Callithrix jacchus: one gene and its partners. The protein of the gene in region 1 interacts with the protein of each later gene in a pairwise test. Links are inferred from orthologs where the notes say so. Each region holds a gene or a part of one and is shown on either strand. Other genes may lie near its edges.

The links.
Region 2: the proteins of SYT4 (region 1) and NBR1 interact in binary tests that used the Homo sapiens proteins (3 or more experiments, as listed by UniProt). The two-hybrid records come from large-scale screens. The link is inferred for Callithrix jacchus from reciprocal best matches to the Homo sapiens genes SYT4 and NBR1.
Region 3: the proteins of SYT4 (region 1) and SGTA interact in binary tests that used the Homo sapiens proteins (3 or more experiments, as listed by UniProt). The two-hybrid records come from large-scale screens. The link is inferred for Callithrix jacchus from reciprocal best matches to the Homo sapiens genes SYT4 and SGTA.

The regions. Positions count from the first base shown.
Region 1 is NC_133514.1:86,324,215-86,327,939, reverse strand, and holds part of SYT4 (synaptotagmin-4), read left to right. Parts: intron 1-65; coding exon 66-880; intron 881-2,647; coding exon 2,648-2,768; intron 2,769-3,725. UniProt on the Homo sapiens protein: Synaptotagmin family member which does not bind Ca(2+). Involved in neuronal dense core vesicles (DCVs) mobility through its interaction with KIF1A.
Region 2 is NC_133506.1:120,771,458-120,775,282, reverse strand, and holds the start of NBR1 (next to BRCA1 gene 1 protein), read left to right. Parts: upstream 1-849; 5' UTR 850-979; exon of another isoform or gene 980-1,313; intron 1,314-1,563; exon of another isoform or gene 1,564-2,329; coding exon of another isoform or gene 2,330-2,371; exon of another isoform or gene 2,372-2,425; intron 2,426-3,825. Other genes in the region: uncharacterized protein LOC144582689, read right to left, coding at 2,330-2,371. UniProt on the Homo sapiens protein: Ubiquitin-binding autophagy adapter that participates in different processes including host defense or intracellular homeostasis.
Region 3 is NC_133523.1:2,625,039-2,628,638, reverse strand, and holds the start of SGTA (small glutamine-rich tetratricopeptide repeat-containing protein alpha), read left to right. Parts: upstream 1-869; 5' UTR 870-904; coding exon 905-1,007; intron 1,008-1,578; exon of another isoform or gene 1,579-1,668; intron 1,669-3,600. UniProt on the Homo sapiens protein: Co-chaperone that binds misfolded and hydrophobic patches-containing client proteins in the cytosol. Mediates their targeting to the endoplasmic reticulum but also regulates their sorting to the proteasome when targeting fails.

The DNA of each region.
Region 1 (3,725 bases):
TTCAAAAGGCTCTTATCTCCAGCTCTGCTTCTTTAATGTATATTATTGGTCATTTGATTTTTCAGATGAAATCCCCACAGTGGTGGGGATCTTCAGTGCATTTGGCCTGGTCTTCACAGTCTCTCTCTTTGCATGGATCTGCTGTCAGAGAAAATCATCCAAGTCTAACAAGACTCCTCCATACAAGTTTGTGCATGTGCTTAAGGGAGTTGACATTTACCCTGAAAACCTAAATAGCAAAAAGAAGTTTGGAGCAGATGACAAAAATGAAGTAAAGAATAAACCAGCTGTGCCAAAGAATTCATTACATCTGGATCTTGAAAAGAGAGATCTCAATGGCAATTTTCCCAAAACCAACCTCAAAGCTGGCAGCCCCTCTGATCCGGAGAATGCAACCCCGAAGCTCACTTTAGAAGGGGAAAAAGAGGCAGTTTCCCCTGATAGTTTAAAGTCCAGCACTTCTCTTACTTCAGAAGAGAAACAAGAGAAGCTGGGAACGCTCTTCTTCTCCTTAGAATACAACTTCGAGAGAAAAGCATTTGTGGTCAATATAAAGGAAGCCCGTGGCTTGCCAGCCATGGATGAGCAGTCAATGACCTCTGACCCATATATCAAAATGACGATCCTCCCAGAGAAGAAGCATAAAGTGAAAACTAGAGTGCTGAGAAAAACCTTGGATCCAGCTTTTGATGAAACCTTTACATTCTATGGGATCCCCTATACCCAAATCCAAGAATTGGCCTTGCACTTCACAATTTTGAGTTTTGACAGGTTTTCAAGAGATGATATCATTGGGGAAGTTCTAATTCCTCTCTCAGGAATTGAATTATCTGAAGGAAAAATGTTAATGAACAGAGAGATCATCAAAAGAAATGTTAGGGTAATTTATTTTCAGTGCTTAAAGTTTTTATAAACAATCTTTTATGTAGCTTTTTTGTGTTTAAGGAATTTTCATTAATATGATAAGCTTGTACATGTCATCCTTACCATGTTTAATTATTATTAATTATAATCAAATGGAGAGCAAGGGAATAGAACAGACAAAATAAAATTTAATTCATAACTGAAATACTCAAATAGTTTTAATGACATAAACTAAATAGGCATTCTTTATAGAAGGATATTTAGATATCGCTTATATAAATTTGTTTAACTCGATTATAAATATTTTGACAGACACTGCTACTTTAAAATACAGGTGAATATTTCTTACTCATAATCAAATTAACAAAGAGGTTTCAAGGTCAGCATAATTGAATTTAAAATTGAAATTTAAAATTAAATCAATTCTTCCTGAGGATTTGGAAATTGTATTGACTTTCATGGAACTGCTTTTCAAGGAGGAGGTATCATGTCATATTCAATTATAAATGTTCATCTGTAAATTGTACACTAGGAAGTGAGTTCGTCTGCTTTTGTAGTTATACTACTCTAGTAGTTCTGGTTTTATTAAAAAATAATAAGATATCATTAAACAAATTTAACCCATTTTCACTTTAAATTTCAAACTCAATTGATTTCAATAGTGGTATTTCAGAATAATTTCTCTCTATAATAGAATGATTTATAAAAATAAATAAATATACTATTTTATGTTTTTTTAAACCACATAGTGTTTCAGAGCTAAAAATAATTTCACAGCTCATTTTGACTGTATCCTCTCATTGAAATTAGTGAAGGTCAAGGTTCAGAGACATTCTACAGCTTGTTTGAGACAGCTGGCTGGCTTAGTGGCACAGTGTGAATAAGGATATGTCTCCTACCCTGATTCTCCTTAGAGTGCTTACTGATATAGCTGATCCATGTTAGCTTTTGTATAAATATATTGCAGCTTTAGTTTTGTGTCACCCATCATTCTAGTTGCAAAACATTCCAAGTTAATATCTTGTTACTTTCAGTCAAAACTTTTACTTTGAATTATCGGATGTCTTACCCATTGTCTTTAAAGTACAAATAAAATCTAAGTAGCATGAAAAGAAGGACGCTGTGATACTGTCCAAAAACAATGTATTAAAATTTCAGAATCAATTCTCTCCAATACTTGAAATCAAATCATTCCTTGGCTTAAATGGAAACTTGCTGTTGGGAAAGAGGCAGATAATTAACTCCATTATACCTTTGGACTGGAAAAGTAGTTGGGATCAGAATAAATCTCATTTGTTCTAAATTCAAATTTCAATATGTCAGTGCTAAAGGATTTGAAATCAAATCAAACTTATCTAATTATTTGCATGAGTATATGTAGAGTCATTTGACCTTACACATACTCATGCAAAGACTTAGGTAAACTTTATTACTATTAATAACTTTGAGAAGTAGAGGTGTTATTAAAAAGCAAAAATCAAAAATAATTCTGTGTAAGATATAATTTAAATATTCTTTAAACATTGCTAAGTAATGGGTGTGGTCGATTTATAGCAGTGAAACATCCTGTAGTACCCAATGGGACCACAAGATGGCAGGCAGTTGTTTTTCAAGCAGTGATGGTACTGCACAAAAGCTGTTACTCTGATTCCTTAGCATATTAAAATAAAAATAACCAAGAAGATTACATTTAAATGACAATGCTATTTAAACTTCAATGAACGTGCAAACTTCAAAGCTAAAAAATAATAGAAATACTTATATTACATTTCTCTTTCTTTAGAAGTCTTCAGGAAGGGGTGAGTTACTGATCTCTCTCTGCTATCAGTCCACCACAAATACTCTAACTGTGGTTGTTTTAAAAGCTAGACATCTGCCTAAGTCTGATGTGTCCGGACTTTCAGGTAAGAATGCTTCTGAAATACTCAGGTTCAGTGTATGAGTGGAATGTATTTTACTGCAAATGAGCCCACCACCTACTCTTACTCTTCTCTTGTTTTATCTTTTCTGTAATTCCTTATGTATCTGCTTTAAAAAATTAGCTTTTAGTTTTGTGACTAACTTTACAAAAACTAAACAAAACAAGAATTTTTTATTGTATATTACAATGAGAAACAAAATAAGCTGTAGTTTAAAATTACCTGAGTTCAAGTCCTAATTTTATCACTTAGCAAAATATTATTGGGTATGTTTCTTAAACTCTGTAGAAACTGGAAATAATGCTATTCATCTTAACAGGTATTGTGAGGGCTAGAAATGTGTACATCTTTAAATATCATCTAATATTATTATTATTATTATTTAATAATGGGAGTTGGAAACATGGTCTCAAAAGATTAGATTAGGAAGCTGAAATTAACTTGTATGCTGCCACCAGAAAAAGGCAAAAGTAATTGTGATAAAATAGCATTAACTTAAAATCTACATATTATCAATTACACAGAGAAGCTCAACACTGGGAAACAGAAAACAAATCCAGCCTGTGACTAAAGAAACTCAGAAAAGTTAAAACTAAAAAGACCATTGCCACTGTAGTCTCTACATTCTCATTAGGTGGAAAAAGCAGTCAAAAGTCAGGGAAATAAAGACTTACCCAAAGTCATCCAGGTCAATAAACCTAAATGTTGTCTAATATATTTATTTCCCTCCTACCCCATTTTCTACACTAAGTTATTAGTAATCAGAATGAGTCCATAAAACATTTTATTTTCTTTCCTTTTGTGTTACCTCTTTTCCTACCATTATTTTTCCCCTATTTTCCGATTTAGAACAGTTTTCTCTTATTTTGCATATTCTTCCTTATTTTCAATTCTGTTGACAGGAGAAAAGCCAAGCTTTATCCATATTTCCCTTTGTTGTGA
Region 2 (3,825 bases), on another chromosome or scaffold:
CCCAACCCCCGCCCTTTGTCCTCACTCCCGAGGTGGTTTTACGGGTATAAAAGGTCTTGACACCCTCCTTTGGGGGCCACGGGTTGGAGAGACGCGAGTCCTCGGTGGCCGCCGGCAATAAAGACCCTGCAATTTGGCATACTTTTGTCTTGGTGTTGACTTTCTATGCTCAGGCCAGTACAACAGACGTTGTTCCCCTCGAGGCACATTCCAGTTCCTATAACTAGGATTCCCCCTCAGACACACCATGCCCTCTTCCTTATCCTCGGTGCTTCCCTCGCGATCTACAAACTGCCCCCCGCCCCAGGGTTCACAACGCCTTACGCCTCTTAGGTTCCACCGTCCTCCCACCCCCAGCCTAAAGAATACCTATCTGTTCTGCTTTGGAAATTCACTCTCGCCCGCCAGTCCCCCGGAGCATCGCTTGGGACCCTGTCCCTTTCCCGGGGTTCTATTACCTTTACCCAGAGCAGAGCGTACAGGCGTCAGGACCTCTTGGGACCAGGGGCCCAGTTATCTGAGAAACCTCACGCCCCGTCCACCATTCAGAGTCTCAGCGAGCTCACGCCGCGCAGTCGCAGTTTAAATTTATCTGTAATTCCCGCGCTTTTCCGTTGCCACGGAAACCAGCGGGCTGCCACTGAACAACAGCCTCCTAGAATTCAAGACGCATTACAGGAAGGGCGAGACAGAAAGAGCCAAGCGTCTCTCGGGGCTCTGGATTGGCCACCCAGTCTTCCGCCGAATGGCGTAGAAAGAAAGAGACGGAAAAGGAGGCACTCTTACCTGGGTTTGCCAGAAAGCGCCCGCCCTCTCTCCGCTACGCTAACGCTTGCGGCTTATTACGTCACAGTAATTGCTGTACGAAGGCCAGAATCGCTACCAAAGACCTGAATGTGAGCGCGAGATAGCGTTCAAAGCTGTCGTAAGAGCTTCCGTTCCCCCACTCTTTCCGCTCCAATGGAGGTCTCCTGTTTAGGTAAATAAAAGGATTGTGGTGGCGGGGGGTGGGGGACGGCGATGGAAGAGAACTACAATTTCCACCATGCATTGCGGAATGAAAGGCCTTCGCCACCGTGTTTCTTGAAAACTGTAGTCTTATGGAGCTGACCATCCAATACCGAAGCGGGCACAATTCTCACGGAAATCCAGTGGATAAATTGGAGACCTCCGAGCCCTTATACATGTCAACAGTTATGGATTGGAGTGTTGTTATGTTTTGTATCTTGAGAGCGGAGACTAGGCCAAAAAAAAAGATACGTATAACTCCTAGGAAGACTACAATTCCCATCCAGCCCCACTAGTCCTCTAAGGTTAGTTGCCTGTGGGATCGCAGGGGCTACCGTATTTGCCTGGGGAAGGGGAAATCCGCTCTGACCCACGTCTGCGCACTCGTAGTTCCGCCCCTCGACCCCAATGTTTGTTATTGTTGTTCAGTTACAGGTTGCTTCTGCCCCGCCCCCGTCGATACAATCTCCACCAATCAATGGGGTGGTTGTTTTGAGGGACAAATGGCAAGATCCAATCATCTTGTCGGAAACTCAGAGAACCAGGGGACTAGTTACTGTCTTTATCCGCCATGTTAGATTCACCGCCACAGGGATAGCGGCAGAGCTGGCTGCGGACGGTCCTTGCATTGGCCTCTGGCAGGCGCCCCCCGGGGGCGGGAAGCTGGTAAGGAAGCAGCTGCGGTTACCTAGGAGTGGGGTCACGTCACACTAAGAGGGTTTGGGGAAGTTCAAGAGAGGAATCCTGCAAAGAAGACGGGGCACTTTTTCCGTGTCTCGGGACACCTAATCTTTTTAGTGATTGGATGAGAGAGCCCTTCTTGTTCAGAGGGACCGAGTGGGCGAAAAGCGCTGGAGAGGTGGAGGGTCTGTGGTTCAGAACATCCGGCTTCAACTGGTGGAAGGCCACGACTCCCCCGCAGAAAGAGGGCCTAGGCAAAGAAATTGAGAGGGAGTCCTCGGGGTGGTGACACCGTCTTGGGAACATGGAGTGCTGGGAAACGATAACTGGAAGACTAGGATGAAGTCTGCAAGTAAAAATATGACACTACCCACATATTCTCATCCCATCCTTCTTTTTTCGGGACCCTCTTAAAGCGATCCCTTTGGTTAGGGACCTTCGGTTTTGGAAAGGCACTATTTTTCCTTTTTATCAAACACCCAGCTTTCAGGACACACTTTTTTTATTTTTTATTTTTCTGAGACAGAGTCTCGCAGTGTTGCCCAGGCTGGTCTTGAACCGCTCCTGACCTCAGGTCACACATTTTAAAGCTTCGATAACTTGGCTTGTACAGGCCTCTGGTGGAGACAGTAATCAAAGCTCAGGTTTCCAGGTCTGTTTCATTAAAGGGATTTTGTTGAGGCTGGAAGAAGAAAAAAATCGACGTAGAGGAAAAGCTAACTTGTGTCAAGCAAAGGTGAGTCAGTGGCATGGACTTAAAATAATGCCAGTTACGAAAGCCCTGGGACCCAGCTATCTGTCTTACTGGCTTTAGACCTAAGGGGCAGATGGGGTTAACCATAGCTTTGGTATTTACAGAAGTTCAAGATTAATGTTCTTGTGGAAAGAATCTTTTTACATGTCAGCCAAAGATAGTTTCTTATGAAGACCTGGATATGGTCCAGCTAAGCTAGAATCTCCCACTTCCTGTTTTCTCTTAGTTGGCCGACCAGCTGGAGGAGCTCCAGAGTATCTAAATTAATTTCCAATTGTGTAATTTGAGAAACAGAGGAAGATTCATTTCCTTAAGTGTGTTTCTTGAAGTTAGAAAGTGATATTTCAGAATATCCACTTTTGGCAGACTGAGTCAGTCACTTCATTTCCCTGACTTTTTGCCTAAAGTCCTGGGGAATTGAAAAAAATTCTGCCCAAATCTTAAGGACCCCAAGAATTACATTTCACATGAATGAATACTAGATGTCAGCAGGATGGTTGTTAACACGGTAGTATTGTTTTGGTGGTGAACTTGAGTCTAGGTAGAAACAAAGAATGAAGAAAATTGAAGGATAATCGTCTTAGGGTTTCACAAAAGTGCCTGATCTTCACAGAGTTCAGAGTCCTTAAAATGATAGTCTTAATTGTAGTGTTTTACAGGGCAATGCATTACATTGTGGAAAACAGTACAGGTTTATGGTTTTACAGATTGGTTTATTATTTAAAACCTTTTTTAAATTTAACTTAATTTTTTAAGGAAATGGGGTCTGGCTTTGTTTCCCAGGCTGGTCTTGAACTCCTAGGCTCATGATCCTCCTGCCTCAGCCTCCCAAAGTGCTAGGATTACAGGCAGGAGCCACTACACCTAGCCAATTTTTTCTTTTCATTTTTATTTTTATTTTTGAGACAGAGTCTTGCTCTGTCACCCAGGTGGGAGTGCAGTGGCATGATCTTGGGTCACTGCAACCTTGCCTCCAAGGTTCAAACAATTCTCATGCTTTAGCCTCCTGAGTAGCTGGGATTACAGACCTGTGCAACCACACCCACCTAATTTTTGCTTTTTTAGTAGAGACAGGGTTTCACCACGTTGGCTAGGCTGGTCTCGAACTCCTTGACTCAAGCAATCTGCCTGCCTCTGTCTCCCAAATGCTGGGATTAAAGGCATGAGCCACTGTTCTGCGGATTACCTGAGTCGAGAGTTCGAGACCAGCCTGACCAACATGGAGAAACCCCATCTTTATTTTTAAAAAAATACACTTAGCTGGGCGTGATGGCACATGCCGGTAATCCCAGCAACTTGGGAGGCTGAGACAGGAGACTCGCTGGAACCCGGGGGGCAGAGGTTACGGTGAGCCAAGTTCATGCCATTGTAGTGGAGTCTGG
Region 3 (3,600 bases), on another chromosome or scaffold:
CAATCACAGCACCTTCATTTTTTTTTTTTTTTTTTGAGACGGAGTTTCACTCTTGTTACCCAGGCTGGAGTGCAATGGTGTGATCTCGGCTCACCGCAACCTCCGCCTCCTGGGTTCAGGCAATTCTCCTGCCTCAGCCTCCCGAGTAGCTGGGATTACAGGCACGCGCCACCATGCCCAGCTAATTTTTTGTATTTTTAGTAGAGACGGGGTTTCATATGTTGACCAGGTTGGTCTCGATCTCTCGACCTTGTGATCCACCCGCCTCAGCCTCCCAAAGTGCTGGGATTACAGGCTTGAGCCACTGCGCCCGGCCAACCTTCATTTTTTTTTTGCAGGGTTTGCTGTGAAATTTCTTGTTTCTGTATTTATGCACTAGTTTATTAGTTGATAGTCCGTCTACACCAATGCAAGATAATGAGAGTAGACACTTCGCTGATTTTTATGGCTGGTTTGTAATAAATATTGATTGAATATGAGGCACCTGCTGTCTACAAATGTCTCTATTTTCACAGACGTCTCATAGATTGCATGAAAGAATGCATTTGTGGGTGAGTAGATGGGTGGGTAAATAATAAACAAAGACAGGGAGCGGATAACAGTGACTCCCATTCATTGCGCGCCTGTGACGCTCTGAGGTCCAGATGTCCAAACGCGGCTGCACCACGTGGCCGGCCCAGCACCACGTGGTCAGCTCCGCCACCTGTTGCAGTCCGCCACTGTCCCACCATGCACCGCTTCATGCTTGTTTTAGATGGCAAGTCAGACCTGATTTCCGGCCTCCGTTAGGTCGCAGAGGTCAGTTGCCCTAACGACCAGCTGGTACCCGCCTCTACGTTACGCCACTTCCTGTCACGCCCACTTAGAGCAGTAATGCACCTGCGCAGAAGGGAAGCAAGCCGGGATGCCCTTGTTCTGCGCAGGCGTGGAGCCCAGGGGCCGGGGCCGGGTGGCACCGCGGTGCGCAAGCGCAACCGTCGGTGGGTCGGGGATCGGTCGCCTGAGAGGTGAGTAAGGGGCTCCGTGCTGAGCCTGGGGGATCGGGGGTCTGCGGCTCGGGGCTCACGGGGCCCCAGAGCCCGTAAGAGGTTGGGGATTGTGAGGTCAGGGTCACCGCGACTCGCGGGGTCCTGTGAGTAGGTGGCGCGGAGGGGAAACTGAGGCCGGGAGGCATCGGGCAGGCCGTTCGAGCCCCGATCTCCCTGTCCCGGACCCCAGGTCCTGGAAATGCTGGTCCGCGGGCTGGTGGCGAGGTCGGCGGGAGGTGAAGGCGCCCCGGAGTAGTGAGCGCTCGCTGGGTGTCCGCTGCCGTCTCGCTCTTATTAACCGCCTGGAAATGTCGTTCCTGTGACTCGGGGACCCCCGTTTGTGGTGACTCAAGTCGGGGCTCTAGTCCCAGCGCCGCCAGTCCCTACCTCGGTGACCTTACCCAGCCTCTTGGCTTTTTGGAGCCTCAGTTGTCCCCTCTGTAAAACGGACGCTGTCAAAAGTCCCTGCCTGGGAAATGAGAGCCGCGGGGCCCAGCGCCAAGTGAGAACCCCGAAGAATTGGCGGCCGTTCGTCTTATTTCATGTTTAGAGTCGTCTTCTGCATATCTTGCTGGAGGTTGGGGCAATGTGGGATACAGGACCAGCCCTCCAGCACGTCTTACCCGCTGCGTAAACCTGGGTGAGTCGCCTCCGCTCTAAGCAAAGCGCCCCTTCTTTCGTAAACAGGAGTGGTAAAAGCAGATGTGTCGGAGGGTCCTTATGAGGGTAAACCCACATAGGATTCTTTGACGGGGTGCCTGGAAGTTGGTAAGAGAGAGCTGGCTTGAGAACGGCTGTTTTTGTTATTCGGGGCCAGAAGATTGCCGTGAGTGTGCATCTCAGAGGGTGAATGATTCTCCCATTTTCTTTTGTTTCTGTGTCTTTTTTTTTTTTTTTGAGACGGAGTTTTGCTCTTGTTACCCAGGCTGGAGTGCAATGGCGCGATCTCGGCTCACCGCAACCTCCGCCTCCTGGGTTCAGGCAATTCTCCTGCCTCAGCCTCCCAAGTAGCTGGGATTACAGGCACGTGCCACCGTGCCCAGCTAATTTTTTGTATTTTTAGTAGAGACGGGGTTTCACCATGTTGACCAGGATGGTCTTGATCTCTTGACCTCGTGATCCGCCCGCCTCAGCCTCCCAAAGTGCTGGGATTACAGGCATGAGCCACCGCGCCCGGCTGAGACGGAATCTTATTCGGTCGCCCAGACAGGAGTGCAGTGGCTTCATCTCGGCTCACTCCACCTCCTGGGTTCAAGCGATTCTCCTGCCTCAGCCTCCCCAGTAGCTGGGATTACAGGTTGGTGCCACCACGCCCGGCTAATTTTTTTGTATTTTTAGTAGAGACGGGGTTTCACCATGTTGGCCAGGCTGGTCTCCAACTCTTGACTTGATGATCTGTCTGCCTAAGCCTCCCAAAGTGCTGGGGTTACAGGTGTGAGCCCCCATGCCTGTCCTACAACAGCGTTTTAAAGAAACTGTTAAAAATGACAAAGGCAAATAGAGAACAGTGACAACAGGAAGGGCAGGAACACCTGGGGATGTCTGGGCTCCCGCACACTCATTTGTTTTTCTGTTTTTTGGTTTTTTTTGCTTTGTTTTGTTTTGAGACGGAGTCTTGCTCTGTTGCAATGGCGTGATCTTGGCTCACTCCACCTCTGGGGCCCAAGCAGTTGTCCTGCGTCATTCTCTCAGTAGCTGGGACTACAGGCACGCACCACCACGCCCGCCTAATTTTTGTATTCTTAGTAAAGAAGGGCTTTCACCATGTTGCTCAGGCTGGTCTCGAACTCTTGACCTCGTGATCCACCCGCCTCAGCCTCCCACAGTGCTGGGATTACAGGCGTGAGCCACCGTGCCTTGCCTTGTTTCTGTCTCTGATTATTCGTTTTGTCTGTCTTTTCCCTCCCTTGACCAGCGGGTCTCAACCGGGAACAGTCCTATGCCCCGGGGATACTTGGTGACCTTGTGGTTGTCATGATTTGGGGGACCTCCTGGTACGGAGTGGGTAGAGGCCAGGGATGCTGCTCACTACCCTGCAGTGCCTAGGATAGCCCCGCCCCAGAGAATAATCTAGTGTCGAATGTCAATCATGCTTTAAAAACCTTATCATATGGGTGGATCGCCTGAGGTCAGGAGTTTGAGACCAGCCTGGCCAACATGGTGAAATCCCATCTGTACTGAAGAGACAAAAATTAGCTGGGCATGGTGGCATGTGTGCCTGTCATCCCAACTACTCAGGAGGCTGAGGCAGGAGAATCCCTTGAACCCAGGAGGCTGAGGTTGCAGTGAGCCGAGACCACGCCATTGCACTCCAGCCTGGGTGACAGAGTAAGACCCCGTCAAAAATCAAAACCCTATGCTAGATCAGTGATACCTTACCAGCATGGGCAGCTGGGAGCGTGTGGCTCCGTGAAATCGTGAACGAAGTTTTGTGTGTGCACCCAATTTTGTGTCTAGGGTAATGGGTACTTTGGAGTTTAGCCTCTCAAGTCAGGCTGGTCTCAAGCTCCTGGATTCAAGTGATGGTCCACCTTGCCTCCAAAGTTCTGTGACGAGAGGCGTGCCCCACCAC